Linked DNA regions of Drosophila melanogaster. The protein of the gene in region 1 interacts with the protein of each later gene in a biochemical or structural test. Each region holds a gene or a part of one and is shown in the gene's direction. Other genes may lie near its edges.

Region 1 (5,621 bases):
GATTTGGCGGTTAAAAAGTGTACATCCTGTGTACCCCTATTAAGCAATCGGTCCTTTTCAGGACCACCATTCAGTTTTTAAAAGGAGGAAGATTTTCAAAAAGTATTTAATTTTATTGGTCGGGACTCCCAAAAAATATGTTAAACTAAAAATAAATGTCTGTCGTTCGTACTCTTTCAAATAGAATGTGTATATTTCTAACATGGATTTGTACAGACTGTACAAATGGTTTCAGACACCGCATGTACAGCATCACATCGTGGTGTGCGATTGTTTAAAGAAGCAAATTATAGTTTATACCGCATATAGTAGAAAACCCTTACTACATTACCATCTTTACGTTAATAATTCTTTATGATTTACTAATTACAACAAATTGCCAAGCTAAAAAATTTTTCAATTCTTTGGTAATAATTTGGTCGTCCTGAAAAGGACGGTTTGATTGACGATTTTATGTACATGTAGGTTTTTAGCTTAGCCTTTGAAACGTTTAGGCCTTCTTCTCGGTCTTCTTGGGCAACAGAACAGCCTGTATATTAGGCAACACGCCACCTTGTGCAATTGTGACGCCGAAGAGCAGCTTGTTTAACTCCTCGTCGTTGCGGATGGCCAGTTGCAGATGACGCGGAATAATTCTAGTCTTCTTGTTGTCACGAGCAGCATTGCCAGCCAACTCGAGAACCTCAGCGGCCAGATTTTCATTTCGGCAGCTAGGTAAAATGGAGCGCTTGCACCAACACGCTATGCGTAGTTTCCCTTCCGGAGCAAACGGTGAATACGGCCCACAGGGAATTGAAGACCGGCACGGTTTGAGCGGGACTTTGCCTTTCCCTTCACTTTGCCACCTTTTCCACGTCCAGACATTTTGCTTCGCGTTTATTTCACTTAGTTCCCTTTACGCACGGAACAAGAATGCTCGCTTAACCCCGACAGCGAAATATTTATACTTTTCCGTTTGCCTGCGCATTCAGTTAGGGGTGGGTGACTTAGACCTGAATTGACTGCTCGAAAAAAAGTATAAACGTGAACGCGTTCGGGCCCACATTACGATAAGTGAATTGTGTTTGTGAAAATATAAGTAACGTGAACAATGCCTCCGAAAACTAGTGGAAAGGCAGCCAAGAAGGCTGGCAAGGCTCAGAAGAACATCACCAAGACCGACAAGAAAAAGAAGCGCAAAAGGAAGGAGAGCTATGCCATCTACATTTACAAGGTTCTCAAGCAGGTCCATCCTGACACCGGAATTTCGTCGAAGGCGATGAGCATAATGAACAGCTTTGTAAATGATATTTTCGAGCGAATTGCTGCCGAAGCGTCTCGTCTAGCTCACTACAACAAGCGCTCGACCATCACCAGTCGGGAGATCCAAACGGCTGTTCGCCTGCTTTTGCCTGGAGAGTTGGCCAAGCATGCTGTCAGTGAGGGAACCAAGGCTGTCACCAAGTACACCAGCTCTAAATAATTTTCTCCTGCGAATGCGGACAATAATCCAAAACGGCCCTTTTCAGGGCCACAATGTGTTATACCAAAGAAATGCATTTTTCAACCACCAATCATCGAATATGAATTTACAAATAAAACTTATTTACCCGCAATATGGGTAATTGGGTAATGTTCAAATAAATACAAAAAAATCGGGAACGAAAACTGAATGCGACCAACATTCAATGTAATTCATGACATGAAACGTTTTATTGTTGCTGCGAACGTCAGCTAATAAATAAGTGGAAGAAAATAAAAGTTTTTTTCTCTTGCAACGGAACGTTGTAGCCCTGAAAAGGACTTGTTTAAACAAATTTCAGATCTATAAATCATAAATCTAAAATTTCAATTGCGAACATGTACCAAATACTGCACTTTTTCACAATTTACTTTTTGGCAGCCGTAGTCTTCGCTTTCGGCTTCTTGGCGGTAGCAGAAACCGATGCTTTCTTCACCGTCTTTTTGGGTTTTGCAGACACCGCTGGCTTTGCCTTTGACGCTTTCGCTACTACAGCCTTTGGCTTCGCTGCAGTCACTTTCGCCTTTGTTGCGGCGGGCTTCGACTTTATGATTCCAGTTTTCTTGGCATCCTTGGCTTTTGCCTTCTCAGTTTTCTTATTTTCGGCAGTCTTTTTGGTAGCCACAGCCTTCTTAGCTTTGGGCTTTTTGTCAGCAGCCCCAACGGCAGTTTTTTTGGAGGAGACACCAATCTTCTTAGAGGCTACCTTCTTGCTTTGAACTTTTTTCTCAGCAGACAAAACCTTCGACTTTGCCTTCGGATCCTTTTCCTTCTTGGCAGAGGCCGACAGTTTGAAAGATCCAGATGCACCCTTTCCCTTAGTTTGAATAAGCTTTCCATTGACCACGGCCGATTTTAAGTACTTCTTGATGAATGGCGCTAACTTTTGGGCGTCGCATTTATAAGTGGCAGTGATATATTTTTTGATTGCCAGAAGTGATGAACCGCCACGTTCCTTTAAATTTTTAATGGAAGCGTCCACCATTTGCTGAGTTGGCGGATGTGACGGCGTCGCAGAGGCTTTCTTTGCCTTTGTGCCAGCAGATCCAGATGCCTTTTTTTGGACCACTTTCTTCTCAACTGTCGCTGGTGGGGCAGCCACTGGGGAAGCGGACGTTGCAACTGCAGAATCAGACATCTTTTTTTCACTGAGAACACTTTTTTTCTGTTAAAAATGGCTCGCGCGCTGCCTACCAACCTCCTTTGCTCTGATGAGAATCGAGGAGGAGAGCACTTTAACAATGCTACTGACATCAGTCATTTACTATGTCAAAGTTTGCTTGAAGTGTAAACTTTTATTAATTTTTTAGTATTTTAAATCATTAATAAAAATAAGGTTTTAATAGTTCTACACTTTTAAATAATTTTTTCGTCACTTTCCATTTTTAAAAGGATGTAATATGGGTTTTGAGACTTTCAAATGTTGATTGAATTTTTATATTCAAATTTTTAACTGGACCAATTTATAAAAAAACATCTAATAAAATAAGAATCATTGCAAATATTTCACTAATTCGTTATGTTTATTAAAATTGAAACGTTCATCCCCTAGAAGGGCTTCTGAAAGAAGCGTCTATTATTAATTAAGATACTTTATTACTTGATTTAAGTTCACATTGAACTACAGAAAAATTTGCTTTAAAGCAGCATTCAGAAATAATTTTCGATCGTTAAAAATACAGATACTTTCTTAAATAACATAATATTAATATAATAAATAATATTTTCTTAAATTATTAATGTGTTTGCTTGTTATTAATGTGTTTTCATGCATATTTTAAAATAATTTGTTCTGAAATCAATCGATTTCCTCGCCACATATGCATTACCGTCTATGTAGTCAAATAAATAAATCAAATAAAAAATAAAAAGAAACAATTTTTGTATTATCCTTTATTATGTAATATATATTACATTCCGCAACAAAATTAGCCAATTTCCGTGCTGAATTTTACATAGGTTTTATTTTTTACAGGCGTTTGAAGGGACAGTGTCAATTGTCCCGTACGACCTCTTCAATAATAACACTTTCTTCAGTTAACACATGGAAAAAATATAAAATAGCTAGTTTTATTTTATTATTTTCTGTTATTTTATAAATATTGCCGTCATCAATGTAATTTCATTAATTTCAAACTGTCTTACACAGAATTCAGATTTTTTTTTAGATGTTTAAGGTTCAGAGTCCCTTGCCCCGCACGACACTTTCACTGCTTTAAAGGATGTTCGCACAAAGAACAAATAAAAATATATATTTTTATATATATTTTATATTTATTAACCTCTTCTTTAATTTAATAAATGTTGAGCTGACAATTAAAATAAGATTATTTTTATTCCTTCTCTGGCAGAATTAGTATTTTTACATATGATTTAAGACCCAGTACCGTTTGCGCCATAAATAATAGAATATGAATTTTGTTCTTATTTTTTTTAAGTTATAAATAGTCGGCAACAGAAAATTTTATCTCATTGAATCTGGTTTGTGGTCCTGAAAAGGACCGATTATAGAGTACGCTAGCGCTTTATCTGCAAGTTAATGCCGTGTCAGCTTAAGCACGCTCGCCGCGAATGCGTCGCGCTAACTGGATGTCTTTGGGCATTATGGTGACACGCTTGGCATGAATGGCACACAAGTTGGTATCTTCGAAGAGACCAACCAGGTAGGCTTCGCTAGCTTCCTGCAGAGCCATAACCGCCGAGCTCTGGAATCGCAAGTCCGTCTTAAAGTCCTGAGCGATTTCACGCACCAGACGCTGGAAAGGCAGCTTGCGGATTAGAAGCTCGGTGCTCTTTTGGTAGCGACGAATTTCACGCAAGGCCACGGTTCCAGGGCGATAGCGGTGGGGCTTCTTCACACCTCCGGTGGCTGGAGCACTCTTGCGAGCGGCCTTAGTAGCCAGTTGTTTGCGTGGCGCCTTTCCACCAGTCGATTTGCGAGCAGTTTGCTTGGTACGAGCCATCTCCGATTTGGGTTTCACTAAAGTTCACGTTCACTACTTCACGTTTGAAAACACAATAAACGATCAGAGCATTTGCTACCTACTTATATAGCAATCGTGGACGGTGAAAGAGAGAGAGAGAGAGAGAGAGAGAAAAACGGAGGCCATTTCATTTGACGAGCGAAAAGCGAACGAACATATCGTTCGTACTCTCTCGGGTTTTTGTCGTTTTACCTATAAATAGGGGCACACAGAAACGTTGAAATTAGTTCTTTAGTGACTTTCGTGCTGTGCGTGTATAATAGTATAGAACAGTGAAAAATGACTGGTCGTGGTAAAGGAGGCAAAGGCTTGGGAAAGGGTGGCGCCAAGCGTCATCGCAAAGTGCTGCGTGATAACATCCAAGGTATCACGAAGCCTGCTATCCGCCGTTTGGCCCGTCGAGGCGGTGTGAAGCGCATATCTGGACTCATATACGAGGAAACGCGTGGCGTTCTGAAGGTTTTCTTGGAGAACGTAATTCGTGATGCCGTGACCTACACGGAACACGCCAAGAGGAAGACAGTTACAGCCATGGATGTTGTGTACGCTCTGAAGAGGCAAGGCCGCACCCTCTACGGATTTGGCGGTTAAAAAGTGTACATCCTGTGTACCCCTATTAAGCAATCGGTCCTTTTCAGGACCACCATTCAGTTTTTAAAAGGAGGAAGATTTTCAAAAAGTATTTAATTTTATTGGTCGGGACTCCCAAAAAATATGTTAAACTAAAAATAAATGTCTGTCGTTCGTACTCTTTTAAATAGAATGTGTATTTCTAACATGGATTTGTACAGACTGTACAAATGGTTTCAGACACCGCATGTACAGCATCACATCGTGGTGTGCGATTGTTTAAAGAAGCAAATTATAGTTTATACCGCATATAGTAGAAAACCCTTACTACATTACCATCTTTACGTTAATAATTCTTTATGATTTACTAATTACAACAAATTGCCAAGCTAAAAAATTTTTCAATTCTTTGGTAATAATTTGGTCGTCCTGAAAAGGACGGTTTGATTGACGATTTTATGTACATGTAGGTTTTTAGCTTAGCCTTTGAAACGTTTAGGCCTTCTTCTCGGTCTTCTTGGGCAACAGAACAGCCTGTATATTAGGCAACACGCCACCTTGTGCAA
Region 2 (7,264 bases), on another chromosome or scaffold:
TCGACGAGGTAGCGCTGCAAATAAAACTTGACCACTCCTCCTCTAAGGGCAATGGCCACCAGGGTGAGTCCCAGATGGGTCAAGGGCAGCGGTAGGAGGCAAACGGGTAGATCGGACATGGGCACCTGGTATAACAGCTTGCCCCGCTTTGAGTAGCACAGATAGCGATTGTCCATGGTGGAGGCGATTATCGTCTGATCGATGGGCAGCAGTAGGAGGCCGGTTAGGGGGATGCCGAGCTTGAAGATCTCCTGTCCCTCCGATTGGCTTTTCCGCAGGAGGTAGACACCGCCATTTCGCGTGGCCACCACGATGCAGAAATCCGTCTCAAAGGTTCCCTGCACGGAGATCAGGCTCGGCACGGCCGTCTCATCATCGCAGGCCTTGCCCTGGTAAACCAAATTGAAGCCCTGCGGCTCCAGGATCATGATGTGCCCGGTATCGGTGGCCAGGACCAAGTGGGACGGGGGATTGGCATCGCTGGAGATGCGCTTTATGCAGCACATGGCCACAATGTTGCCAACCCGACCCACTGGGGAGTCCTTGTGCGTGGCAATGAAGTGCTCCCGCTCCTGCTCGCCCATTTGCAGAAGTCGCTGCGATTTCCGCGACAGCTTGGAGTGGTCTATGGTTTTTAGGGAGTCAAGCAGGGCGGGATGGGCACTTGGCTTCACAACCGGCAGTTTTCGCCATACCTCCAGCTCCAGATCCTCGGAGTCCTGTGCGGGAATCGTGTACTTGAAGTATGGCTTTAGGTGACGATAGAAGAGCACTGACTCAGCGATGGCCACGGCAATTACTGGAAAATTGTATTCATTATGGAATCTAATTTAAAAATATTAAAATGCAACGTTATTTCTACCCGGCGTCTTGGGCTCCGTTTCGTCGATGTAGAGACTTTCAATGGCCGCTGGAATCCCCGGCAGTGGCTGCTCGTGCTTGAGTTTAAGACCACGGAAAACCTTCAGCGTGGCAGTGGGCTCCTCGGCGGCATTGTCCAGTGAAATGTCCGCCGCCAGCAGCCGGACATATCCGTCGCACTGCACGTCGCTCAGGGCCATGCAACTGGTGAGGGTGGTGAGATGCGGTGGAGGAGCCTCCTCCGCCGTGTCCACGTGAAGCCAGTTGGGAGCACCGGCCATGGCAGGATCTTGGTGAAAAATTTGCAGCACAGTGTGAAAACGAACAGGTGATTCAGGACATGCTTTTGTTTTGGTTTTTCTTGTCCTTAGCAACCGGGATGACAGCACATTTTTTGTTACTTATTTGGGTTTTTTCTTAAAAACACAAAATGATCGTCAGCATTATTCTTAAATGCTAACAGGGTAAAGCTACGTATAACTAAAAAATCATTTGGCAAAAGGTAAAACTGTGATCAAATTACTGATGATAGAAAATTTTATTTAAATTGGCCGCCAAAAATGCATTTTGTCTGGTCACACTTAAGGCCGGCCTGCTAAAGACGTGCAAGCATCGACAGTATGTGTTATCGATAAGTGCGAGGGAATATTCGATACCCACGTCAATTGCTTATCGCAAAAAACATTCGTTATAAATATCATCTCAGCGACGCCAGCAGTTGAATTCAATATTTAACATTTTGTATACATAAGTGACTGACTACGGCCCTATTTAACTGCAAGTAATGACGGAGCTAAGGGACGAGACACCGCTCTTTCACAAGGGCGAGATAGTCCTTTGCTACGAGCCGGATAAATCGAAGGCCCGTGTTCTTTACACCAGCAAGGTAAATACACATGCACACACACACACACGCGCGCGCATTGAAATGTCAAGCAAACGTCGTAGGCGAAGTTTTCACAAATGATTTTCCGTTTCCCGCAATTTTCCGTACATGCCGCAGGTGCTAAACGTCTTTGAGCGCCGGAACGAGCATGGCCTGAGGTTCTACGAGTACAAGATTCACTTCCAGGGCTGGCGTCCATCCTACGATCGCTGTGTGCGCGCCACCGTTCTATTGAAAGACACCGAGGAGAATCGCCAGTTGCAAAGGGAGCTGGCCGAAGCTGCCAAGCTGCAAATGTAAGATAACCCCCTAGACATGCGTGGAATACCTCTCTAACGAGTTCCCCCTTCTTTTTCGCACAGTCGTGGTGACTACTCCTACAAGGGCACACCCGATAAGCCATCGGCCAAGAAGAAACGCGGCGGAAAAGCGGCCCACGTTGAGGAGCCAATAGTGGTTCCAATGGACACGGGACATCTTGAGGCGGAGCACGAAATGGCGCCCACTCCACGAGCAGCGGGCAACCGGACGCGGGACAACAGCGGTGGCAAGCGAAAGGAAAAACCCCCGTCCGGAGATGGCCGATTAAAGGGAAACCGGGGCAGACAAACAGAGACCTTTTATAACAATGCCATAAATGATGTATCGGTCTATAACCATGTGCCACAGGAGGATCGCATTATGATGCGAGTCAGCGAGCGATTGCGAGAGCTTATAGAGTACGATCGGAATATGATCAAGGTACTAGGCAAACAGCACGCACTGCCCGCCCGCGTGCCCATCGTGACCATCATGGAAAACTTCGTCAAGCAGCAGGCCGTGGAGCTAGCCATTAGCATTAAACAGGACAGCTCGAGGGCCAGGAACACGCAGAGTCGCAATGCCAGAATGGAGCGGGAATACGATCGCGTTATGTCCACGTTGGTTACCACTCAATATCAGACTTAACAACCCACTTATACTCTTACTTATTAACAGTGTCTGCATGCTGAAGGAGGTGGTAGACGGATTGCGTATCTACTTTGAGTTCCACGTGGATGACCACTTGCTGTATACGGAGGAGAAGGAGTATGTCCACAACTACCTCACAGACGACAACATGCGCAACTGCAGCCTAATATTGAACAAGTCGTACGAGTATATCAATCCCAGCGGTGACACGGAACTGATCGGTCTGGACGGCACGCCAGTGGTAGAAGGGTCGGGCGACACCAATGGACAGATCGGAGTTATTAATATCGGCGGTCCGGAGTACGAGAAGCAGTTGCAAAAATGCCTGCTCTACATTGTTACCGCCAGCGGGAAAAACACTGCGCAGGCCTATGAGAGGACTTCCCCATATACGGCTGCCTACAAACTGCCCGTGGAGATGCGTGGATTTCTGAACGAAACATTCAAGTGGCGGCTTTTGTCAGCGGAATCGCCGCCAGAAAAGTCCATGGTCTTTGGCGCTCCCCACCTGGTTAGGCTAATGAGTATGTACAATCTTTCTTGCATTCTATAACACACATTAATTCATGGTACTTGCAGTTAAAATGCCCATGTTCTTAAACGCATCGCCGATCAGCAACAAGAAGCTAGAAGATCTACTTCCCCACCTCGACGCCTTCATCAAGTAAGTCTAAGACCCCTCCCTAGTCCATCACGAAGCTAATCTGTTGGTTTTTCAGCTACTTGGAGAACCACAGGGAGTGGTTCGACAGGGAAAACTTTGTTAACTCCACTGCCCTGCCCCAGGAAGATCTGCAGCGGGAGCTGTTGGACTCCCTGGATGGGATTGCTGCTTAGCTTTAGTTGATCGTAGTTATCTAGTTTATTTATTATTACGATTAAAGCTTATGCTCTTTTATTTAAAGATTTGTAATTGTCGTTTTGGTTTCTTCAACTACACACTTTGTAAACAACGCACTTCTATAAAAAAGTTTCCTAATGTGATCGTATAATCGAATAATGCCTATAACTATATATGTTAAATATTGAAAATACGATTTTAACATTTTTTTTTGTTTTTTTTTTTTTTTTTGCTTAACCTAAGTTTTAGTTGAGTAGTACATGCTAGTATTTTTGTCATGCCTTGTTTTTTGTGCTCAAATATATTTAAGAGTTGGAAAGTTGTTGTCTTTTGTATTAAGGATTTGCGGACCTTGAGTTGGAATGTGCAGGGAATTCTTAAGATTTGTATAATTTCTCAAAATATTGCAACTGTAACAACTATGTGTGTGCTGATTTGTGTTTCAGATCCTGCTTAGAAATTCGAAATTGTCGCTTGGACGGCTTGGAGTTGGATGCATTCGCGTTTGTAACATGTGTAAACTTGGGACGTTAACTTGGACGATGACTGAACTGGACTGGACTGCCGGCCCTCACTTCTGTCGCTTGGTGGCACTGCTGGCCGTGGGTCGCATGAAGCTGCTCACGGATCGACTGCTGCTAGTGCTCCTCTGCTGCGGACTGGGGTTCGCACTCATCCTGGCCTGCTGCTGCTGGTTCAGGGCATTTTTCACCAGCACCACGCTGCGAGCGGCGCTCATTCGGGACTGTGACTGGGGTTGGGACTGGGACTGGTTTTCCTTAAAACTGGTGCTACCATGGATACTCGATTTCGGAGCCGTGTTGGACATCTTGCTGCGCACCAAGATCACACTGGGTCCCACACTCGACCCGCTACTGCTGCTCCTGCTGGCGGGGACTCCACGTCCCTGGGTAGGTCGCAGATTCTGGGCGGCCAGTGGTCTTTTGCTGGGCGAGGAGTCAACGGACACAGTGGCTCCCGCTCGCTGAACGGCGGGCAGTCGTCTCACTACAGTTTGAGTGGAGGCTCCACTGTTGATGGACGATCGCGAGGAGCGCAGACTGTTTCTCGAACTGCTCCGCTCCACGCCGGCTAGAACCTGTTGCTCCTGCGGCGAGCGTCTCACAGTGGATGCGGATCTCAGCGGAGCTGCACTGGCCAACGGCTGACCGTTGGGCATGCGCAGCGGTCTGCTGGCGGAGAGGCTCCTCTTGACCGTTGCAGTTTGGGTGGCAGGGATTTGGTTTTGTGACTTGCTGGCTGCCGATCCTGAGGATCCGGAACTCTTCATCCTGGCCTGCTGCAGGCGATCGGCCAACCGACTGCCCATCTGGCTGATGCTGGTGGTTGTGGGCTTTTGCTTCTGCATCGGCCGCTGGCGGGCAGGAGTCTCGTTTACACCCTCGTTGCAGGAGGAGTTTGTGCTCTCGCCCTTTCCGTGAGACGGAGTGTCCGACACAAGACTCTGAGTCTCCTCGAAGCCTTCGTCATTCAGTTCGTGGTGACCACTGGCGGACAGTTTTAGCTTGGAGGGTGTGATATCCCGTGGCGGACTCCAAGGTCGTTCTGGAGTTCCCGTGGGTGATTTAAGATTCCGAATGGCCTCCCTTACATCCTCCTGATTGATGGAGCTTATGTGGCGACCCACCTTCTCCAGCTTGTTGATCGTGCGCTCCTTCTGCTTGGACTTCTCGGGTGCGGGTGGCTCTGGCTTCGATGGAGAAGTCTTTGCCTCTGCTGTGCTGGTGGTCAGCGCCTCCTCATTGCCACTGCTGTAGTCCGTGGGTCTTTTGTAGCGTCGTGTGCGGCGAGCCAGGGCATGGCGATCGAAGTGACCCGGCGCATCCTGTTCCGCTGGGTTGATCTTCTCCTCCGTCGCAGCCTTTGGTTTATCCGTCATGCTCACCGTGACCACTGTGGTGGTGGGCGTGGCTATGACCCGTCGGCTCACTGGTGGCGTCTCTATATTATCCGCATCCACGTCCTTGGAGGAGCCCTGCATCTCGTTTTGGGTCTTGTGGTGACTGAGCAGGCTGGCAAAGGTGTCGTCGGACACTTGTGGCTTTGGTGACTTGGGTGGCAGTGGATGCTCCTCCGTTTTCGCAGGCTGCAGTTCCCGGCTGGAGGATCGCCTGATATAGATTTGCAACCGCTCGTTGCTCTTGTCCCTTTCACCCTGTTTCTGAATAAGGGACTTTCGACGATCCTCCTCGGCTATCGATTGAAGTGCTATGGGACTCGGCTGTTCCTGCGATCGCTGTCGGCGATGTTGACGCAATGCATCGTGCGGCTGGGCATCGGCAATGGCCTGCAGATTGGCCACCACGTCCGTCTGCTCCAGCGTCCTCGAGGGCTTCCAGTCGGCATAGACGCGCTGATATTTGCCGGACTCCTGATCCATTCTATTAGTGGAGTTAGTGGGATTCGTGGTCGTAGGCGTATTCGTTGGCGTAGCTGTCGTCGTCGAAGGCAGGATCTTCTCCTCCGGCAAGGGGTCCAGTTTTCGTTCGTTTTCTGCGAACATAGAATATATCTAAGAGATCCATTTGGTCCTGAGTTTGTGAGGGGCATCTTACCAGTTTCGTTTTCGAGCGATCGCCTATTGGCGTTGACCAGACGACGCTTCCGCCTGTACTCCTCGTTTTGCTTCTCATCGCTCTCGTTGGATTGAAGCCACGTCTCGATCTTCTGGCGCCACTCACGGGATATTCTGTAAAATGTAAATGATAGATAGATATATAGATAGATACTATAAGATACTTAATGTGAATCTCTTACCTTGGTTTCGCATCCTCGTTATTAGATGGCGTCTGAGCAATCGCCGATCCACTGCCCGTGGGCGTATTCGCTGCCGTTGTGGGCGTTCCAGCTGTACTGGCCAATGGAGATTGCAGTCGCTCCTGGACATTTTGCTGCTGCTGCTGAAGAAGAGGAGCCGGGGAGCTGGCCCGTTCACGATCCATGCCAAAGTCAATGTTGAGCAAATCGGGTCGTTTGCGACTGGAACTTCCGGAGCGGGCACGACGAGCCCACGAGCGATCCAAGCTGCCGTAGGCCGCCTTCCGCTCCCTGCTATTGTGTCCATCGTGGTGAGGACCCGTCGAACTCCGAAGGAACTCCATCAGGTCATCCTCCTCGGCAAGAACTCGACTACGCCGACGCCTCAGACTTCCGTTGGGTGTGATGTCCGGAGAGGCTCCGTCTTGTTCCAGGCGGATGAAACCATTGCTGATCTCTCCGGATCCCAGGTGGCGGCGACTCAGCGCCGGACTAGCCCTAGGATCGAAGATAGCATCGCCCAAGAAGGAATGCTCCGAGTCCGAAACTGGCGTTCCAGCCTGACCAACTGCAGAATAACTAAGTAAGTAAATAAATTTCTTTCAAGTAGATGATGCACTTACTCTGTCTGGCTCTGCGGGCCAGCTGCTCCTCGCGCTGCTTCCTCCTAAGCGTGGCCTGTTGCTCCTGCTGCTGGCGGCGCTCGTTCTCCTTGACCGCCTGCTTGAATTTATCACAGAAATTGTGGAAGATCTTGAAGCACTCCTCCAGCCGGAAGGTGGCCGCATCGTCGCAGAAGAACTCGGACATTTTGAGCCGCATTGACTCCACTTGTTTCATGCCAGCTTGGAGGACGGATAGCTCGGATTCGGCGGCCTGCAAAAAGTCGGCCATTTGCTCCTTGATGTCCACATCCGTGGCAGGTTGTTCGATCTGTCTGGCTATTC
Region 3 (10,764 bases), 8.3 Mb from region 1:
GACATCTATCAATTAGATAGCTACCTTATCATGTGGAAAGGTATCTGGTTTGCCTCCAGTAATCGCATCCGTGGCAGCTGCCTCGTCGAAGGCGAAGGGAATCGGTATGAACAGAAACAAGGACACCAGGAACACACAGCCAATAAGCACACCAAAGGATTCAGGTCTAGAGTTTAGGAAGCGTTTTAGTTAGAAAACCTACAAAACAAAGGAGAGCGAACTTACACCTGCGGCTTGTCCTTCTTGCACAGATCGTTGCCAAAGAGATTGGCCTTGATGAACATCTCGCGGAAGCGGGGTATCATCCGGACTGTCATGCAGTAGGCGGCGCCCGAAATGGCCGCATTGATGGCTATGGCGACTCCCGACATGGTCGGCCTTGAAAATCCACCTTCCGCTGCACTAATTCAATTAGCTGGTGCAGCTCTGTGCGCAGCAAATTTGCCGGAGTCACGCGTACGGAGTGCGCTGTTTCAATTGGGATAGTGGGAGGCCGCGGAAAACCAGCCGATCACTCGATCATGGTGCAGAAATCAATTACGCCGACAAAAAAAAGTACACGCAATTGAAACTCAAATTGCTGATAACAACAAACTCAGCTGTTCGGCGGCTAGTGTGCCCGTACTTTCGACTGTTAGACAAACCAAACAGCTGATTTTAGTTTACTAATTTAAATTATTCATATATAAAATACCACAAATGAATTTAATTTTATTTTGACCTACCTTAGTGAAAATAGTTTTTAATTTGTATAGTCGGCAATAATCTTAATTTAATTTCGCTTACATATCAAAGTTAGAAAATGTTATAGTATTTCTAAAATCAAGAGATCGTTAAAAATTTAAAGACTGAAAGTAAAAACACTTTACTAGATGAAAAAGGCTTAACTTTATTTAATATCAATGATTACAACACTTGGACCAACTCCGTTATTACACATATAGATAAAGATATCTACAACGAAATAGATAAAATATGTTGCGAATACTTGTTCTTTTCGAGCTTCCTTTGTCAATTTGGATTCGGTAAAGATTGCTACCTATCCCTGAAGAAGGGGAAGACCTTTTGCAGCTCCGCCTTCGACTTGCAGGCCTCCACCTGCGGCAGGGTCTCCACCAGATTGAGCAGATAAATCTGCAGCTGCTGGCGGCGTTCCTCCACGAAGACCAGGTTCATGTTGCCGAAATGCTTCTTTGGTGGAAACTCCACGGCACTGACCACCGGATGGGTCTTAAGCAGTGACTTGTGCAGCTTGTAGAACTCGCTGTAGCGTCTGAAAAACGTCCAGTGCTCCAAACGCTGCCTCATCGTGATGTGAACTTCGTAAGTGTAGTGGGAACCAGATCGTTGTGTCTTTGCCAGCTTTACATGCGGAATGGTTATCAGGAAATTGGAGCACAGCGATGAGCTGGGGTCGATGCCGGTCTCTTCAAACTGTTTGGTTAGCCTTCGGATAAGCAGGCGATTTTGAAGACTAAGCTCCGCCACACGGGTTTCCAGCAGAGCGCATCTTTCGTTTAGCTGGTTGACATGCTCTTCCAGCGCAGCTTGCTGTTGGCTGTTAGCCAAGCAATTGGCAGAGGAGGAGGACTTGCTCCACTGCGAGGAGGTGTCGCTTCGGTCTTCATAGAGCTCTGACTCTCCAACATGCGCGCCAATGTCTGGCAAGGGCGTCTTGAGAAACTCCAGCTCGGGTTCAATGGGGTCGAAGGGACCCAAGTTGACTTCTTCCTGTGGCTGGGCTAACTCCTGTTCGATGGATTCCTTGGAGAGTATTTGCTGAACCTCCACCGACTCGATGGGCTTTAGAGCACCAAGTAAATCCTCTGTGGAGCTAACGCACTCAATGGGTCGTTCCACCGCAATACCAGGTCTTTTTTGGCGTCCCACCACCGGCACTGGACTGGTGGTGAATATAATTGGTTCCTCTTTGACGGCAACACTTGGCGTCGATCTCCTGGGTGCATTAAGCTCAGTGGTGTCCACATTGAGGGCGAACAGTACATCACTGAGGGAGTCTACGATCTCTGGCAGCTTCTTGGCCGCCTCATCGTTGAGTAGCAGGGACCAAGGTGTGTAAAATCGATGCAGCTGCTCCTCGTCGCTCAGCCAGGTGAGCACATGGCTATGCAGTCGCTTCTCGTTCAGTGTGGCGCGTATGAAGGCACGTCCTCTGCCCACATTCGTCCAGATCTGCTTAAGGTCCATATACCTCTGACGTTCGTGGGGCGTCAAATGCGTCTGGCAGAATTCCCAGAAAGTGGCGTCATTGTTGTTGCTGCCTCCGCCCGCATTTCCGGACACCATCTCCTGCATGTTCTGGATGAAGCTGGCGGCGCTGAAGGAGGAAGTGCCTGCCGATTGCCTAAGTCCGTAGGACATTAGTTCCTCGAGGGATTCGCACAGTTCCTGAACAGATTCATCCCGCTCAGTGGCAAGTTCTTTGCCACTGAACTTCTGTGAGATTTTATGCGCACTTTCCTGTAGACGTCGAAAGATGTCCTCGCGCCGTTGGCCAAAGGTGCTGCCCGCCAGTTGGCTGCGCATGCTCCGGAAGCCTGCCTCTGTGGGCATCGAGCTGGATGCATTTTCTGGCATTATTTGTGGCTATTATTCAACTAATTATATTTTCTACTCATTTTTCTCACTCCGTTGTGTGCCAACACTGGTTGCTTGACAACAAAACAAGCCAAACAGTGTTGATAAGCGTTGGAATGGGCGCATTCAGATCACCGATTAATGATTTTAAGTGACTGTGACTCAGCATTAGGTGATTTATTAAAATAAAAAAATTGTTTGTAAATAATTTATGGTACCTAAAAAACTTATAAAACTATAGGTTGCGTTATCAAAACAAACCAATTATAACTGAAAGCGCTTAATTTCTCCAATTCATATTGGTAAGGTACAACGATTTCGATTAAAATTGTGTTTTTACTGAGATAAGCAGTATTGTACACTTATCGATAACAATCACTCTGCATTATTTCTCGCTGAACGCGACCACTTGTGCATCCCTGGTGATTTAGCGGGCAAAATAATGCCAAAACGCTGTTGTGCGACTGTGTAGCCCTGGCGTATAATTGCCATCCCTGCTCGCGCAAATGCGAAAGAAGTTAGCACACAAAAATCTGTTAAAAACTATTGTTAAACGATTGAAGATCCAATAATATGTCATACCGCAAGTGCTAGCAACTGGGGAAACCCAATCCGAACGCGTCCAACGTGCAAAAGTGTAAGTTTGCATCCAGGGGCAGCAACGTCGTAAATTTTCTTTTCTGTTCGCGTTGGCTGTCTGCGCAAACGCTTCATTGACTTTTCGAGATTGAACCCATGAAATGTAACCAAAAATTCTGATAAATCGGATATATGCTCGAACCTTATTCAGTTGTGTGAAACTCCACGCGGCGGCTGAAATTCCGACCGTTACGACAGGCTTCAATCGCATTTCCGTACGCTTCCCTCACCGCGCAGCATCTGCGTGCAGAAAAGGCAAAAGTAGAATGAAAAAAAAAGGAAAACGGGAACAGAAGGAGGCAAACAAAACGAACAACGAGGAACACTGGGATTCGGTCAGGATTTACAGCCCATATGGCCGGAACATTCGCCGGTTCCAGGAGCTATTCGTAACCAAACAAACTGGGAGCATTCTATGTTGCATTGTCCATAAAATTGCAGCAAGATTAGCAATCAGCGTCAAATAGATACGGAGATTTCTAAATATGAACATAATATTCTTTTAAAAATTCGAATTAGCAGGCAGCTTAAAAAGTACTAAGTAAATAACTACGTAGTTTTTAGATAGGAATAAATAGGGATTTACTTTTTAAATTCGCCCCATCTTGACCAATTTTTATTATTTCAAAACACTAAACTATTTCAATGTTTGTTTTCAGTCAATGCGAGTTCGAAAAACAAAGGAACGCGACACGCAGCAGTAGAAAGCAATACTTTTTGAAGAGAACCCAGAAAGCTGTCCCATAAATGCTTTTGCCATACTGACCAATCCGGAATCGATAGCACCATTGGCTTAAAATGAACCCATCCGAGCTGCGCATGATGTGGATGAGTAGTCAGTACAACTCGGAGCGCATTACACTGGAGGATGCGGCCACTCTGCTGGGTCATCCCACTGTTGGACTCTCTGTCATGGAGGACCTCTCCGCCCATCAGCCAACTTTGGTGAGTGCAGACGGTTTGATTCAGAAGCCAATCTCTCAATTCGAAGACTAATAAATATAAAATGCTTTCAAATGAGCATCGCGAAAACGAGATACGTGTCTATCACTAAGGCACCCCATTATATTTGATAGTCCTCGGAGTCGAAAACAAACCCAAATTCTTTAGGTTTCAACGTGTACTCCTTGGGGATTGGCCAAATTTCCAAACTATCTTTTTTGTCTGTCTCAGTTATAAACAATTGGAATTTGTTTACTTATTTCTTCTACTTTCTTTTCTTTGATTTATATATTGGTTACAATTTAAATCTCGACACAAAAACACACATAACCAATGGTCGATCCTCAACCCGAACCACCTCCAATCTCCAAAACCCACAATGCTCAAAAAAAGGACATGAATCCGATGATGAGCCTAATGGGGGGAGATTTCACTGGTCAAGCGGCGGCGACTGCTGCGGCACTGGGTGTACAGCCGGGCACCCTGATTGCCACCAACTCGAACAACCTGTACGGATTTGCCCACATGGGCGGCCTGCAGCAGCAACTGCTCCAGCAGTCGGCGGCGGCGGCAGTCTTCCAGAACTATGCGGAGGCAATGGATAACGATGTGGAGAACGGCATGGTTGGCATGGCCATGGAGGCGGTCGTGGACGATGACGACCAAGTGTACGGTCAGAGGGACAATAACTTTGATGATAATGGATCCGAGTTGGAGCCCAAGCAAGAGATTATCAACATCGACGACTTTGTGATGATGAACGAGGACAATAATTCGTACGATGGCACCGACTTTATGACCTCCTCCGATAAGGACATTTCGCAGTCCTCCTCCTCCTGCATGGCACAGATGCCCGGAAGCTTGGGCGTCCCTGGAGTCGAGCACGATCTTTTGGTTCCACTGCCCGATGGCCTGCTGCACCACAAGCTGCTGGGCACAACTCTGGTCCCTGCGATGGGTACGCTAAATGGCAATGCCTTTGGCAACATAATGGTCAGCACTGAAAACACATCCAGCAAGCAAATGCAGCGCACCTATAGTACGGCCAAGGGAGCCAATTCCACCGCAACCACCGCCACCTGCAGTGCCTCCACGTCCTCCGCATTGCGATCACAGCGCAAGACGCGCAAGATCGAGCCCGTTAACAGGCCAGGACTGGTGCTGAAGACACCCATCGCCTACAGGGGCAACATTGACCCTTCGGTGATCCCCATACAGAAAGATGGCATGGGTAAGGTTGCTGTGCACTAGAGTGGGTCGATTCTTAATTAGAACATTGCGGGCAGAAAAGTAAACGATAAGTAACGATAAGTGGTAGAGATCTTAGTTGAGATCATATATTATTAAACATCATCAGTTTGATGTACATTGAACTTATCTAAAATTCCAAAAGCCTTTGCCTTGTATTTACAATCTTTCAAGGCTTGCTCTGTCTACTAGCTTATGTATTTGATAAAGTAAATAGTTATTTCTTTCTAAGTAATTAGTAATGATTCGTTTATTTAAACAATGAAAACCACCTGTAAATCTGCAATCGATCCACTCTACACGATATTAATTTTCAAGCTTTTTATTTTAAATCCTACTCTTAGTTTCACTTATCTTTATGGTTTTGGGTTTGTTTTGCAAGAATTTGGGTTTGTATACCATGATAGCATTTAAATTAAATACGAAATTAACGTTTACATTAATATGCACTTAAACGATTCGTTTTTTCTTCTTCTACAGCTGTCTGTAAACGTTGTGGCGCCATTGGAGTGAAGCACACATTCTACACAAAATCGCGACGTTTTTGCAGCATGGCCTGTGCCCGAGGCGAACTATATTCGTTGGTACTTAACACTAAGATGGAGGGAGACCAGGCAACCACTAGTTCCCCGGATCCTGGAGCGGGTTCGGAGTCAGCCGATTTGCCTGGCGATCAGCAACAGTCGCAGTCGGATATTGAGCTCGATCTGCATGCGGCGCACATTAAGAATGCGAATTATCGTTTTCGCATTACGGATCAATCAAAGATTACCCAGTTGAATAGCTTCGGCGAACCCATGTCAATGGGCGGCGACGCAGCTGCCAATAATGTACAAATGGCAGCAGATGAAACAATTGCTGCGTTAAACGGCGGAGCAGTGGGCGATGCCACTGCTCCGGGCAGCACCGAGGAGGGTGCATCCACACCCAATTCTTATCTGAGCGCAGCACCCACGCCCAAGGCCTTGCGACTTTTTAAGGACATCTACCCACAGGATGACCTGCCGCAAATACCCAAATACGAGCGCCTTCCCGTACCGTGTCCGCAAATGGAGAAGATAATCAGCATTCGGCGGCGCATGTATGATCCCACACACTCCTACGACTGGTTGCCCCGCCTTAGCAAGGAGAACTTCAATGCGGCACCCGTCACTTGTTTTCCTCATGCACCCGGTTGCGAGGTATGGGACAATTTGGGCGTGGGCATGAAGGTTGAAGTGGAAAATACGGATTGCGATAGCATCGAAGTGATCCAACCGGGTCAGACTCCTACCTCGTTTTGGGTGGCCACCATCCTGGAAATCAAAGGCTATAAGGCCTTAATGAGCTACGAGGGTTTCGATACGGACTCGCACGACTTCTGGGTGAACCTCTGCAATGCCGAGGTGCATTCGGTGGGTTGGTGCGCCACTCGGGGCAAGCCATTAATTCCGCCCCGCACCATCGAGCACAAGTACAAGGACTGGAAGGACTTTCTGGTGGGACGTTTATCCGGAGCCCGCACCCTTCCCTCCAACTTTTACAACAAAATCAACGACAGCCTCCAGTCGCGCTTCCGCCTTGGCCTGAATCTCGAGTGCGTGGACAAGGATCGCATTTCGCAGGTGCGCCTGGCCACCGTCACCAAAATCGTGGGAAAGCGCCTCTTCCTGCGCTACTTCGATTCCGACGACGGCTTTTGGTGTCACGAGGACTCGCCCATCATCCATCCAGTTGGCTGGGCAACCACAGTAGGCCATAATCTGGCTGCACCGCAGGACTATCTGGAGCGCATGTTAGGTAATAATATTTACTTTTTCTGCATACATGTTTTTACATTACCATTTTAACATTTTACATACCATTCCTACTTCCAGCTGGTCGCGAAGCCATGATTGAGGTTCATGAGGACGATGCCACAATCGAGTTGTTTAAGATGAACTTCACCTTCGACGAATACTACAGTGACGGCAAAACCAATAGCTTTGTGGAGGGCATGAAGCTGGAAGCGGTGGATCCACTCAACCTTTCATCCATATGCCCGGCTACAGTAATGGCGGTTCTTAAGTTCGGATACATGATGATACGCATTGATTCCTACCAACCGGATGCCTCAGGGTCGGATTGGTGAGCTTTAAAAGCTTCAATTTAAGTCGGCAAATCTAAATAGCTTCTGTTGTATTTTTTTTTAGGTTCTGTTACCATGAAAAGAGTCCGTGTATCTTTCCGGCTGGATTCTGTTCCGTCAACAACATTTCGGTTACCCCACCGAACGGCTACGACTCTCGTACATTCACCTGGGAGGGTTACCTCCGCGACACGGGAGCCGTAGCCGCTGGCCAGCATCTATTTCATCGGATTATTCCCGATCATGGATTTGAGGTGGGTATGAGTCTGGAGTGTGCAGATCTCATGGATCCCCGACTCGTTTGCGTGGCCACGGTGGCGCGAGTGGTTGGTCGACTACTCAAGGTTCACTTTGACGGATGGACGGATGAGTACGACCAGTGGTTGGATTGCGAATCAGCCGATATATATCCAGTCGGATGGTGTGTACTGGTCAACCATAAGCTAGAGGGCCCACCGAGAGTAGCACATCAGCAGGCCCCGAAACCGGCACCAAAGCCCAAAATACAGCGAAAGCGAAAGCCCAAAAAGGGAGCAGCGGGAGGCAAAACTCCAACCGATAATAATACTCAGTCGGGTAAGTTTTTTTTTTCTAATCAAAGTCATTCGAATTCCTGTATATCATCATGCATCTTCAAATGTTATTCCAGTCAAATCGCGTACAATTGCGCTCAAGACCACGCCGCACTTACCCAAGCTGAGCATCAAGCTGGAGCTAAAGCCGGAGCATCACAATGCTGCCTTTTACGAGAACAATCAGCCCGAGGAGGAAGGCGACGAGGAGGATCCCGATGCGGATGGCGATGGAGACGGAAGCACCAGCCACATCTCCGAGCAGTCAACGACACAGTCGTCCAGTGATCTGATCGCTGGATCGGGCAGTGGAAGTGGGTCCGCCTCGCTGGTAACTCTCGCCACGGGCAGTAACAAAACGGTAAAGAAATCTACTACTAAATCTCCTGCGCCACCAACTGTGGGTCGCAAAGCCACTAGCTACATTGCGGTGAGTACTTAGCGGAATAATAGTGCGTAGAGTCATCCATCTAGCCAGCCAGCCTGCTTGCCCGCCTGAAGTTCAGCTCACGCATCTAAACGGGAGGTCCAAAGAGCATAGTGGTTTTTGTTTTAAACATTAATTAAATTTTATTTAGAGGAATTCCCCTTTAATTTATTTGCCTTTTTTTTTCGAAATAGAAGCATCAGCTTATACACCAAAATACTCCATATTAATCCAAGTTTGCCTTGTTTAGCTTAAGTTTTTGTTATTTCATATGAAATAGATTGTCCGACCCAACTTAAACCACTGTGCTAAAGCTCCGTAACACAACTGCATAAATGTATATAACCAAAATCAAATCGTTCATAAAACGCCAATTTGTATATAATTTAATTTACGCACTGTTATTTTTGGTACTTGCAACAGCCCCAATAGCCCCAACACACCGACATCCAATCGTTCCGTCACACACCCAACCAGCAATGCAACATCATACGTTAACTAATTAAGTCCTTATTTTTTACCCCACTATAGAACTCCTCTGCGACGAATAATAAGTACATTCCGCGTCTGGCCGACATCGATTCGAGTGAACCTCACTTGGAGCTGGTGCCGGATACATGGAACGTGTACGACGTATCCCAGTTCTTGCGGGTGAACGATTGCACAGCCCACTGTGACACGTTCAGCCGGAACAAGATCGACGGAAAGCGACTCCTGCAGCTGACCAAGGACGATATCATGCCACTGTTGGGCATGAAGGTGGGCCCAGCACTGAAAATTTCCGACCTTATTGCACAGCTTAAGTGCAAGGTTAATCCGGGCAGAGCCAGATCCCACAAGACCAACAAATCACCGTTTTTATAGTGCGCGGATTTTAGTTTTTTCAAAGCAAAACGAAAGTTATCACCGATAGAACACACACACACACTTTTATACGTGTACACTACTGCGTATGCATATATAATATATATATATATATATATAGATATATAGATATTGAAGTATTTTGTTAGCACTGGAAATCGAAACACAAACGTTGCCTAGAATGGATCAACCATCCATGATACAATTGTATAACTAACTCAAGTCTCACAGCGCGTTATTTTATACCGATTAAATTGTAAACCGTAGACCTTAGGCGTACGCTCATGTTATATCAGTCAGAGTTCTATATCAACAATTGTATAAAGATGATTGAATTGATGACAGTGACTTTTTTTAAATCACGCATATTTTTATAAAAATAAGAGTAATAACAATGCATGCAACACATGTATTCACATGAATATATGGGGAGATTGCATAGCATGGGCTTGTACAGTGTACATAAAATAAGCCGTCGCCGATTATATAGGACCCAAGAATATCATATTTTATATAGAAGCAAGCGCAAGCAAATAACCCAGGCAGCATGCCCTCAACTTTCAGTCGTAAACGGAGCGATTGGAAGTCGCTCCTAGTCTGTAAGATCCACGATTAACTAGCCGCTCTCTCCTTCGGTTAACTTCGTTCCGGTGTCACACATCTCTGCAAGGAGGGCATTATTGGTGTAAGGCAAACTTTTGAAGAAGGCAACCTTAATGATAAAATATGTATTTAGATATCCCTAAGGTACCAGCTAATGTCAAGATACTTTAATAAAACCGAATTCAAAATTGCAAGTATTGAAATATCGCCGACTAACTTTTATATGTGTTGGTTTTCTTTGGGTTTATATGTGCTCTACAGTCAAAACTCATTTTCATTTCTGTTTTTTTTTTTTTTAGATTGGTTTATATTCTGGATATTAATACACTTTTAAGACATATAGACTAAATTCTTACTGCTATGTTTACACTGCGTTTGGTGGCTATATATTTATGCTAGGTTTCGAATAAACATTTCAAACACGCACACCAAATTTCCAACTCTTATGAATATTTTGAAATCCATGCGCTGTTACATTTTGATGTGGGTGCGAGTGTATAAATGTTAAAAAATAGTTGCCATAACCGATAGAAATATAAAATGGTAAGGAGATAACACAAAAAAGTAGAAAAAGAATCATGTACAATACAAATTAGGGGCGAGTGCTTATATACAGAGTGTTTGTGTCTAGTTTTTAACTAAAACTAACGTATTTTTCCGTTTGCATTTGCATAGTTTTGAATATGTTACGCTTAGAACTAGATTTAAAGTTGAGGCGCTGCTTCTCTTTGAATACAAAGAAATCCTGCTTTCTAAAGGATTTT
Region 4 (8,000 bases), on another chromosome or scaffold:
CATGCGAGTGTGTGTATGTGTGTGTATGTATTTATGTTTCGTTGTTGTTGCTTTTCCTATTGCGCAGCAAGTCAGCTGGGGAAAATTGGAAAATTGGGAAATAGACACAAGGACGATGCAAAGTGGCTGCATTAAAACAAGATGAAAGCCAATCCGAATACTTACAATAGGAAGAAACGACGAGAAGGTTCCAGAGTATTCCGTTTTACTTTTCCCAAACAGCTGATTCACTTTCCACAATCACAGACAAATTTTGCAGTTAATTTTCACTCAATTATGCTCCTCCAGGAGGATTTTTATTCTAATCTGAACTATTAAGAACGACGACTGATATCCGAATGTTTCCGTTTCGATTGAAAACTTTGGTTGTTGTGCCTACTTTGTTTTCCTTTATTACAATCCCCTTTCCACACAGCTGTTCGAGGTGCCTATCGAAAGTTGATCAAATCGTCGCTATCGATAGACGATACAATAGTATGGGAAATATATTCTACGTTTACAAATTTAAGCTGTCAAACTTATGTTTGTTTAATGCTTATAGTAGAAACATTCACATGTACAACGATTCGGTTGAATTTTAAAATACTTGATTTTCTCTGCAAATTTAACGATAATTGCGCGCCAGTGTTGCGTAATGGCCGCACGTTGTGGTGTTAACAACTGAATCGCTTTGCAACACATCAAGAGACACAAAAATTTTTTCGGTCTAAATTCCTAACTAGAGTTAGTCTGTGTGCGATTTTGGCGGCGGGATTGGGAGTTCCCGGTACCGCAGTGATCTGCACCGGAAAACCAGCCATCGGAAATCTCAAGCCATGGAGAGCGAGAAGATTCTAATGGCCGCCGGAGTGACGGTAGCCGCCGTAGTCGGAGCCTTCGTTTTCTGGGGTCCTTCGGGTGAGTAGTAGATCTTCCATGGCGTAGTTCCCTACTCCAGCGAAACATTTGCAGGTTCCCGTTTGCGTCAACGACGCGGCCAAATTGCCGGTCTCCACAACTTTGGACTGACCTGCTTCCTAAACACCCTGCTACAGGCGATGGCCGCCTGTCCCCAGTTCATTGCCTGGCTGCAATTGTACAACAACGCCTCGCCGGATCGAAAAAGCTTAATTACGTCGATGTTAAACACTCTGGAAGTGGTCAATGGCACCCATGCCACTCTGCGCGGCGATCCCTATTCACCGGGAGCCGTTCTCCGGGCTCTGAATGCCCTGGGCTGGGTGATTCCACAGGAGGAGCACGACGCCCACGAGCTGTTCCACGTGCTATTGACCTGCCTGGAGGAGGAGGCCATACGACCACAGCCCCTCGGCTGTCTGTCGGATGCTCTGCCCACGGATAACGATGATAACAGCAGCTTGGCAGGCACAGCAACGCCAGTAGGGGGCTTTCGATCATTTAGCTCCATGGCAGCGGGACTGGGAGCCAGCCAGAGGATCGGGGATCAACCGAACCGGCCCTCCAGTGCCATGCTCACTGATTTCTTAAACATGGAGTATGATGAGAGCACCAGTTTGCAGCGATTGGTGCGTTCCGAGGCCCACACACCGGATTCGCCTGCCTCTGTTTGCGAACGCGACGGAAACGATCGCCTGGGATCCGTGCTTCTGGATGCCGTTTCGCCAGGGACACCCTTTGGCTTTCCGCTCGTCAGCAATCCGGATTCCTTGGCTACGCCTATGTTGGGCGGCGAGCGTTCGTCGCGACCGCGACTTCCACAATCCCAACAGCAGCAGGATGAGGGTCTGAATCGCCGGGTGTCCAGCTCCTGTCGATCGCTAGAGCGCCTGCATCGCGGACCAGGTCGGGTGTCCATCTGGTCCAACATGATGCCCAGCCAAGTGGCGCATCCGTTTCAGGGCGCCATGGGCGCACAGATCGTGTGCAATGGCTGCGGCTCCAAGTCGGCCGTTCGGTACGATAAGTTCGACAGCATAACGCTAAATCTGCCGCCGCAACGCAGAACTGGCTTGAGTTTGGGCCACTTGCTTAGCGAGTATATCACATCGGAGGATCTGAGCGATGTCAAGTGTGACTCCTGCAACGAGACCACCACGCACACCAAATCGGTTACGTTCGCTAAACTACCGGCCTGCCTGTGCATCCATGTGGCGCGGACGGTGTGGCTGCCAACTGGACAGGTGTGCAAGCGGAAGGACTATGTACACTTCCCCGAGAGCCTCTCCATGGCGCCCTACAGCTTCGTGCAGCCGCATCTCAATAGCCAGGTGAGCGTGTGTTGCATATGTTTGCCCCAGAATAACAAACTTCCCCTGTAAAAATTATCCTTATATATGATCATTTAAATACATATATCTAAAGGATATATATGTATAGGATATATCTATAGAATATAGGTCTTTCCTTTTCTAATTGGTGTACAAAGAGTAGTGGCATTCAATTCAAGAACTGTTTACATTTAGTAACTAGCATATTGTTAAAACAAACACTTTTGCTCATGATTACAGGCTGGCACTCCCTGGGGCTCGACAATGTCGCTGTATTCCTCCAGCCTGCCGATGAACAATGGCGTTGGTGGTGGCGAGGGCTTTGGCACGATGTTCCCCAAGAATCTTTACCGGCTTCTGGCCGTGGTGGTGCACTCCGGGGAGGCAAACAGCGGTCACTTTGTAACCTACAGGCGTGGCTCGTTGCGGAACGCACATCGGTATGGTTTCCATTGCCTCTGTGTAATAATTATGCTAATTCTGTGCTATCCTTATTAGGTGGTACTACACATCGGATACAATTGTGCGGGAGGTGAGCATCGACGAGGTGTTGAGCGTCCCCGCCTATCTTTTATTCTACGATCGTGGCCAGCAGAGGCAGCTAAATCTGCGCTAGTCAGGTGTAGGTCGTCGGTATTATTCTAGTCCATACTTTTGATGTGATGAATATGAATATCCGAAACCAAATCCTTTTCGTCGAACGGTGGCCATAGCAAACACGCGTCACATTTATATAGATATATATACATAACTCATATAAGTACGGGAACCCACGATGATCTGACCTATACTCGGCGGGTTCATGTAATGGTCTCCGCATAATCCAAACTCTGTGTACGGCTTATTGCATATAGGAACTCCCTATCGTAACAGAGAGCTCGACTCTTCATTTGTTATCTATGCATTTAAGATTTTTTAAGAATTCCAAATTCATGCCGTGCTTTTAGCTGTCTGTATTTAGCAATGTACACAAATCAACTACCAATAATTGTTTGCGCGTTAATTCTGTAGGATAGATGTTCAATAAAAATTTCGAAATCAGTTCCAATTTTTTAAAGTGCTTTCTCTGAAGGTTTTGGATAAATAAAATATATTATAATACTGAATGCACAGAAAAATCCAGAAGGGTAATTTCAAAAAGGGTGCAAAGTATTGTACATCGATAACCACCGATTAATAATCGATTATCTGGACATGTTGTGATAAATCAGGGTTGCATTTCACGCCGTATTTCGTTTCATTTCCCTAAAGAGTGAACAAAAATACGCAATTGGACAAATCTAGTGGCTAAGAATGTCTGAAGCGGAGCTGGAACAGACACCCAGCGCGGGCCACGTGCAGGAGCAGCCGATTGAGGAGGAGCATGAGCCGGAACAGGAGCCAACCGATGCGTACACAATTGGCGGTCCGCCGAGGACGCCGGTTGAAGATGCGGCGGCCGAATTGAGCGCCAGTCTAGACGTCAGCGGCTCGGATCAGTCGGCGGAGCAGTCGCTCGACCTCAGCGGTGTCCAAGCGGAGGCCGCGGCGGAGTCAGAGCCACCGGCGAAGCGCCAGCATCGCGACATCAGTCCCATTTCGGAGGACAGCACGCCGGCGAGCAGCACATCGACTAGTTCCACCAGGTCGTCCAGCTCCTCCCGCTACGACGATGTTAGCGAGGCGGAGGAGGCACCACCGGAGCCCGAGCCGGAGCAACCACAGCAGCAGCAGCAGGAGGAAAAGAAGGAGGACGGTCAGGATCAGGTGAAGTCACCAGGTCCAGTTGAATTGGAGGCACAGGAGCCCGCGCAGCCGCAGAAGCAGAAAGAGGTGGTGGACCAGGAAATTGAAACCGAGGATGAGCCCTCCTCCGATACGGTAATCTGCGTGGCCGACATCAACCCCTACGGCAGTGGTTCCAACATTGACGACTTCGTTATGGATCCCGATGCTCCTCCCAATGCAATAATCACCGAGGTGGTTACCATTCCAGCTCCTCTTCATCTCAAAGGGACACAACAACTGGGGCTGCCATTGGCTGCCCCACCGCCACCACCACCTCCTCCAGCAGCGGAACAAGTCCCCGAGACTCCCGCCTCGCCCACAGATGACGGCGAGGAACCACCAGCAGTATATTTATCCCCCTACATACGCTCTCGCTACATGCAGGAATCGACACCTGGCCTGCCCACCCGCCTGGCGCCGCGTGATCCTCGCCAGCGCAACATGCCGCCGCCAGCCGTAGTTCTGCCCATTCAAACCGTACTTAGCGCCAACGTTGAGGCCATTTCTGACGACAGCAGCGAAACTAGCAGCAGCGATGACGATGAAGAGGAAGAGGAGGACGAAGATGATGCCTTGACCATGGAGCACGACAACACTTCCAGGGAGACGGTCATCACAACAGGTGACCCTCTGATGCAAAAGATCGATATAAGCGAAAATCCCGACAAGATCTATTTTATTCGGCGCGAGGATGGCACCGTGCACCGTGGCCAGGTGCTTCAGTCTCGCACCACTGAGAATGCGGCCGCTCCCGATGAGTACTACGTCCACTATGTTGGTCTCAATCGCCGCCTGGACGGATGGGTGGGCAGGCATAGGATCTCGGACAATGCGGATGACTTGGGCGGTATTACCGTGCTGCCAGCGCCACCATTAGCCCCCGATCAGCCAAGTACTAGCAGGGAAATGCTCGCCCAACAGGCCGCCGCGGCGGCAGCTGCCTCATCCGAACGGCAGAAGCGTGCGGCCAACAAGGATTACTATCTGTCCTATTGCGAGAACAGTCGCTATGACTACAGCGACCGCAAGATGACACGCTACCAGAAGCGGCGCTACGATGAGATCAACCACGTGCAGAAGAGCCACGCTGAGCTGACCGCCACGCAGGCGGCGCTGGAGAAGGAGCACGAGTCCATTACGAAGATCAAGTACATTGATAAGCTGCAGTTTGGCAACTACGAGATCGACACCTGGTACTTTAGTCCCTTCCCCGAAGAATATGGCAAGGCACGTACGTTATATGTTTGCGAGTACTGCCTAAAGTACATGCGCTTCAGGTCGAGCTATGCCTATCATCTGCACGAATGCGACCGCAGGCGTCCGCCCGGAAGAGAGATCTACCGCAAGGGCAATATATCCATTTACGAGGTGAACGGCAAGGAGGAGTCACTATACTGCCAACTTTTGTGTCTGATGGCCAAGCTCTTTTTGGACCACAAGGTTCTATACTTCGACATGGACCCGTTTCTCTTTTACATCCTTTGCGAGACGGACAAGGAGGGCAGTCACATTGTGGGCTATTTCTCCAAGGAAAAGAAGTCGCTGGAAAACTACAACGTGGCCTGCATTCTGGTATTGCCGCCGCATCAGCGTAAGGGATTTGGAAAGCTACTAATAGCCTTTAGCTATGAGCTGTCGCGCAAGGAGGGCGTAATCGGTAGTCCGGAGAAACCGCTCTCGGATCTGGGTAGGCTGAGCTATCGCAGCTATTGGGCATACACGCTGCTGGAGCTGATGAAAACCCGCTGCGCTCCAGAGCAGATCACAATCAAGGAGCTGAGCGAAATGAGTGGCATCACCCACGACGACATTATCTACACGCTGCAGTCCATGAAGATGATCAAGTATTGGAAGGGCCAGAATGTCATTTGCGTTACGTCCAAGACCATTCAAGACCACCTCCAGCTGCCGCAGTTCAAGCAGCCCAAGCTGACCATCGACACCGATTACCTCGTCTGGAGTCCGCAAACTGCAGCGGCAGTGGTCAGAGCTCCGGGAAATTCCGGCTAGCATACGGAACCTGGAGACCCCGTTCTGCTATCATCGCATATAATTGTTATTGACGATGACGATTAGGTTTTTTTTTTTTATTTTTTTTTAAAGAAAGCGTAGGAATAAGCTATTCTATTGCACCCCTCCAAACGAAAAATGTATAGTCATATATCTAAATGGAACCATCAGAAGGTTCAATGTAATACTTAACATTTGGTTTACAATTTTTTTTTTTTATAGTTAAGGAGTTTTACGGATAGGCTGTTGTAACTCTTAATGATAGAACCAAATGTCTAATTCGTTTGGCTAATGTTTTTGGAGAGGGAATTTGGAACAACCATTTAAAAATTTTAAAAACTTCTGTGTTCTTGAAATATATATCTTTAACTACTTTATCTCGAAAAACTCTGGACTTGTTAAAAACCAAATAAACTTCCACAGCAGCCGATATGCCGACGCCTGAAGAGAATACATCTCTATGAACTCCTTACACGTAAGATAGCATAATCTCTCCACGGTACATTTTTATACACTATAATTAAGGAAGAGAATCCATAATATCTTTTAGGCTACACATTAGGTTAAGTTCAGAAAGAACTGAACGATTCCTACTGACTAATGAACAATAATAAATGATTTAAACTGTAAAAAAGAAAAACTCCAATCTGAGAACATGATGTACTTTCTCAAATAAATGCGTCGTTACATTAACGTCAAAAAGAGGAAAAATTAAATAAATATTTACAACGACAGGTTATTCTTTTCATTATTTTTGCAACACATTTCTTGTAGGTTAGCTTAATATGTATATTTTGATATAATAAAAAATATATATAGAAATATCGAAAACATTGGAAAAACAAGTTTAAAATTTCGAGCATTAAAATCCATTGCTAACCCTCTCCTCCCTAGCGTCATAAGCAATCGGTTATCGAGGTTATCGATAACGCCCGCATCGATACAATTCCGCCGGCTTGTCCGATTCGTGTTGTTGTGATTCGGGATATATACAGGATATAGGGCAGCCAAAATGGGCCTGCTGTCCGATCCGTCGATATCGACGCAAAGCAAGCTGGTGGACGGACTGGCGCGTCATGTTCGCAAGGTGTGCTACGCCCTTTATGTGGCGGGTGTGGCCTGGTTCTTCTGTTTGGCGCTGCCGGAGTTCAACCACGGGACATATCTCTCCGAGAATGCTCTTTCGCCAGGTGAGTTACGTGCAGCGTCACCAAAAGAGAGCCGCTAACAATTGGTGTGATCTATTGTAGGCTTGGTCTATCCGGAGATCCGCATCGATGCGAATCGTCTGGCCATCCAGTTGCTGGAGGAGCTGCAGCGGGAGCGAAAGGATCATCTGTCCACCACGCCGCACGCCTGGATTGCGGCCAAGATGAACGAGTTCGGCCTGGAGACGCACACGCACAACTACACGTTGCGCTACCCATTTGGCGGCGGTAAAGAGTATCACGGCAAGAATATCTACGGCATATTGAGGGCCCCAAGAATTGCCTCCACGGAGGGCATCGTTTTTGCGGCTCCATATCGCGCTGCCAGTTCCGTGCACACGGACATTTCCGCCAGCGTGCCGCTTCTGCTGGCCTTCGCCGATTTTGCCCGGCGCAAGAACTACTGGGCGAAGGATCTGATCTTCCTGATCACCGAACAGGAGCAGCTGGGCATGCAGGCCTGGCTGGAGGCTTATCACGATGGCGACCGGGAACTGGACTTGAGCAAGGCGTACCTGCGTCCTGGCAATTTGCCCGCTCGCGCTGGTTCGCTGCAAGCGGCTCTGAATATTGAAGTTCAGGATCTGGAGATTGACCATGTGGATGTGCGAATAGAGGGCTTGAACGGCAAGCTGCCCAATCTGGATATGTTCAATCTGGTGCAGAGAATTATGGCCCGCGAGGGCATCGCCTCTGGCTATAAACAAGCGCCACGCAAGAAGCGTCGTCACAGCCAGTCGCACTTCGAGCAGAACTTCCGCCAGATGCTGACCATGCTGGCCAGCCA

Evidence for each region.
Region 2: the proteins of His4:CG31611 (region 1) and msl-3 form a complex in vitro, tested with the Drosophila melanogaster proteins (2 studies listed by BioGRID).
Region 3: the proteins of His4:CG31611 (region 1) and Sfmbt form a complex in vitro, tested with the Drosophila melanogaster proteins (3 studies listed by BioGRID, with this or other methods).
Region 4: of the proteins of His4:CG31611 (region 1) and mof, one has a biochemical effect on the other in vitro, tested with the Drosophila melanogaster proteins (3 studies listed by BioGRID).

The regions. Positions count from the first base shown.
Region 1 is NT_033779.5:21,424,093-21,429,713, reverse strand, and holds His4:CG31611 (histone H4), read left to right. Parts: upstream 1-4,708; 5' UTR 4,709-4,764; coding exon 4,765-5,076; 3' UTR 5,077-5,121; downstream 5,122-5,621. Other genes in the region: His4:CG33907 (histone H4), read left to right, coding at 1-14; His2B:CG33908 (histone H2B), read left to right, coding at 1,091-1,462; His1:CG33804 (histone H1), read right to left, coding at 1,869-2,639; His3:CG31613 (histone H3), read right to left, coding at 4,054-4,464; His2A:CG31618 (histone H2A), read right to left, coding at 5,551-5,621. UniProt on the Drosophila melanogaster protein: Core component of nucleosome. Nucleosomes wrap and compact DNA into chromatin, limiting DNA accessibility to the cellular machineries which require DNA as a template.
Region 2 is NT_037436.4:7,119,804-7,127,067, reverse strand, and holds msl-3 (male-specific lethal 3), read left to right. Parts: upstream 1-1,534; 5' UTR 1,535-1,645; coding exon 1,646-1,747; intron 1,748-1,864; coding exon 1,865-2,043; intron 2,044-2,109; coding exon 2,110-2,667; intron 2,668-2,725; coding exon 2,726-3,222; intron 3,223-3,277; coding exon 3,278-3,362; intron 3,363-3,417; coding exon 3,418-3,535; 3' UTR 3,536-3,855; downstream 3,856-7,264. Other genes in the region: BBS1 (Bardet-Biedl syndrome 1), read right to left, coding at 1-799, 863-1,142; form3 (formin 3), read right to left, coding at 4,111-6,053, 6,116-6,249, 6,318-6,885, 6,941-7,264. UniProt on the Drosophila melanogaster protein: Component of the male-specific lethal (MSL) histone acetyltransferase complex, a multiprotein complex essential for elevating transcription of the single X chromosome in the male (X chromosome dosage compensation).
Region 3 is NT_033779.5:13,169,085-13,179,848, reverse strand, and holds Sfmbt (Scm-related gene containing four mbt domains), read left to right. Parts: upstream 1-3,092; 5' UTR 3,093-3,180; coding exon of another isoform or gene 3,181-3,312; exon of another isoform or gene 3,313-3,315; intron 3,316-3,379; exon of another isoform or gene 3,380-3,426; intron 3,427-3,466; exon of another isoform or gene 3,467-3,626; intron 3,627-3,896; 5' UTR 3,897-4,035; coding exon 4,036-4,182; intron 4,183-4,483; exon of another isoform or gene 4,484-4,572; coding exon 4,573-5,410; exon of another isoform or gene 5,411-5,622; intron 5,623-5,907; coding exon 5,908-7,206; intron 7,207-7,283; coding exon 7,284-7,533; intron 7,534-7,598; coding exon 7,599-8,110; intron 8,111-8,183; coding exon 8,184-8,536; intron 8,537-9,064; coding exon 9,065-9,397; 3' UTR 9,398-10,200; downstream 10,201-10,764. Other genes in the region: Alg7 dolichyl-phosphate N-acetylglucosaminephosphotransferase, read right to left, coding at 25-166, 226-371; CG5439 (uncharacterized protein), read right to left, coding at 1,036-2,598; CG43925 (uncharacterized protein), read right to left, coding at 2,961-3,092, 3,181-3,312. UniProt on the Drosophila melanogaster protein: Polycomb group (PcG) protein that binds to the Polycomb response elements (PREs) found in the regulatory regions of many genes.
Region 4 is NC_004354.4:5,872,274-5,880,273, reverse strand, and holds mof (males absent on the first), read left to right. Parts: upstream 1-3,420; 5' UTR 3,421-3,521; coding exon 3,522-6,005; 3' UTR 6,006-6,434; downstream 6,435-8,000. Other genes in the region: Usp30 (ubiquitin specific protease 30), read left to right, coding at 816-897, 952-2,228, 2,469-2,668, 2,727-2,844; GAA1 (glycosylphosphatidylinositol anchor attachment 1), read left to right, coding at 7,018-7,195, 7,256-8,000. UniProt on the Drosophila melanogaster protein: Histone acetyltransferase that catalyzes the formation of the majority of histone H4 acetylation at 'Lys-16' (H4K16ac), an epigenetic mark that prevents chromatin compaction and constitutes the only acetylation mark intergenerationally transmitted.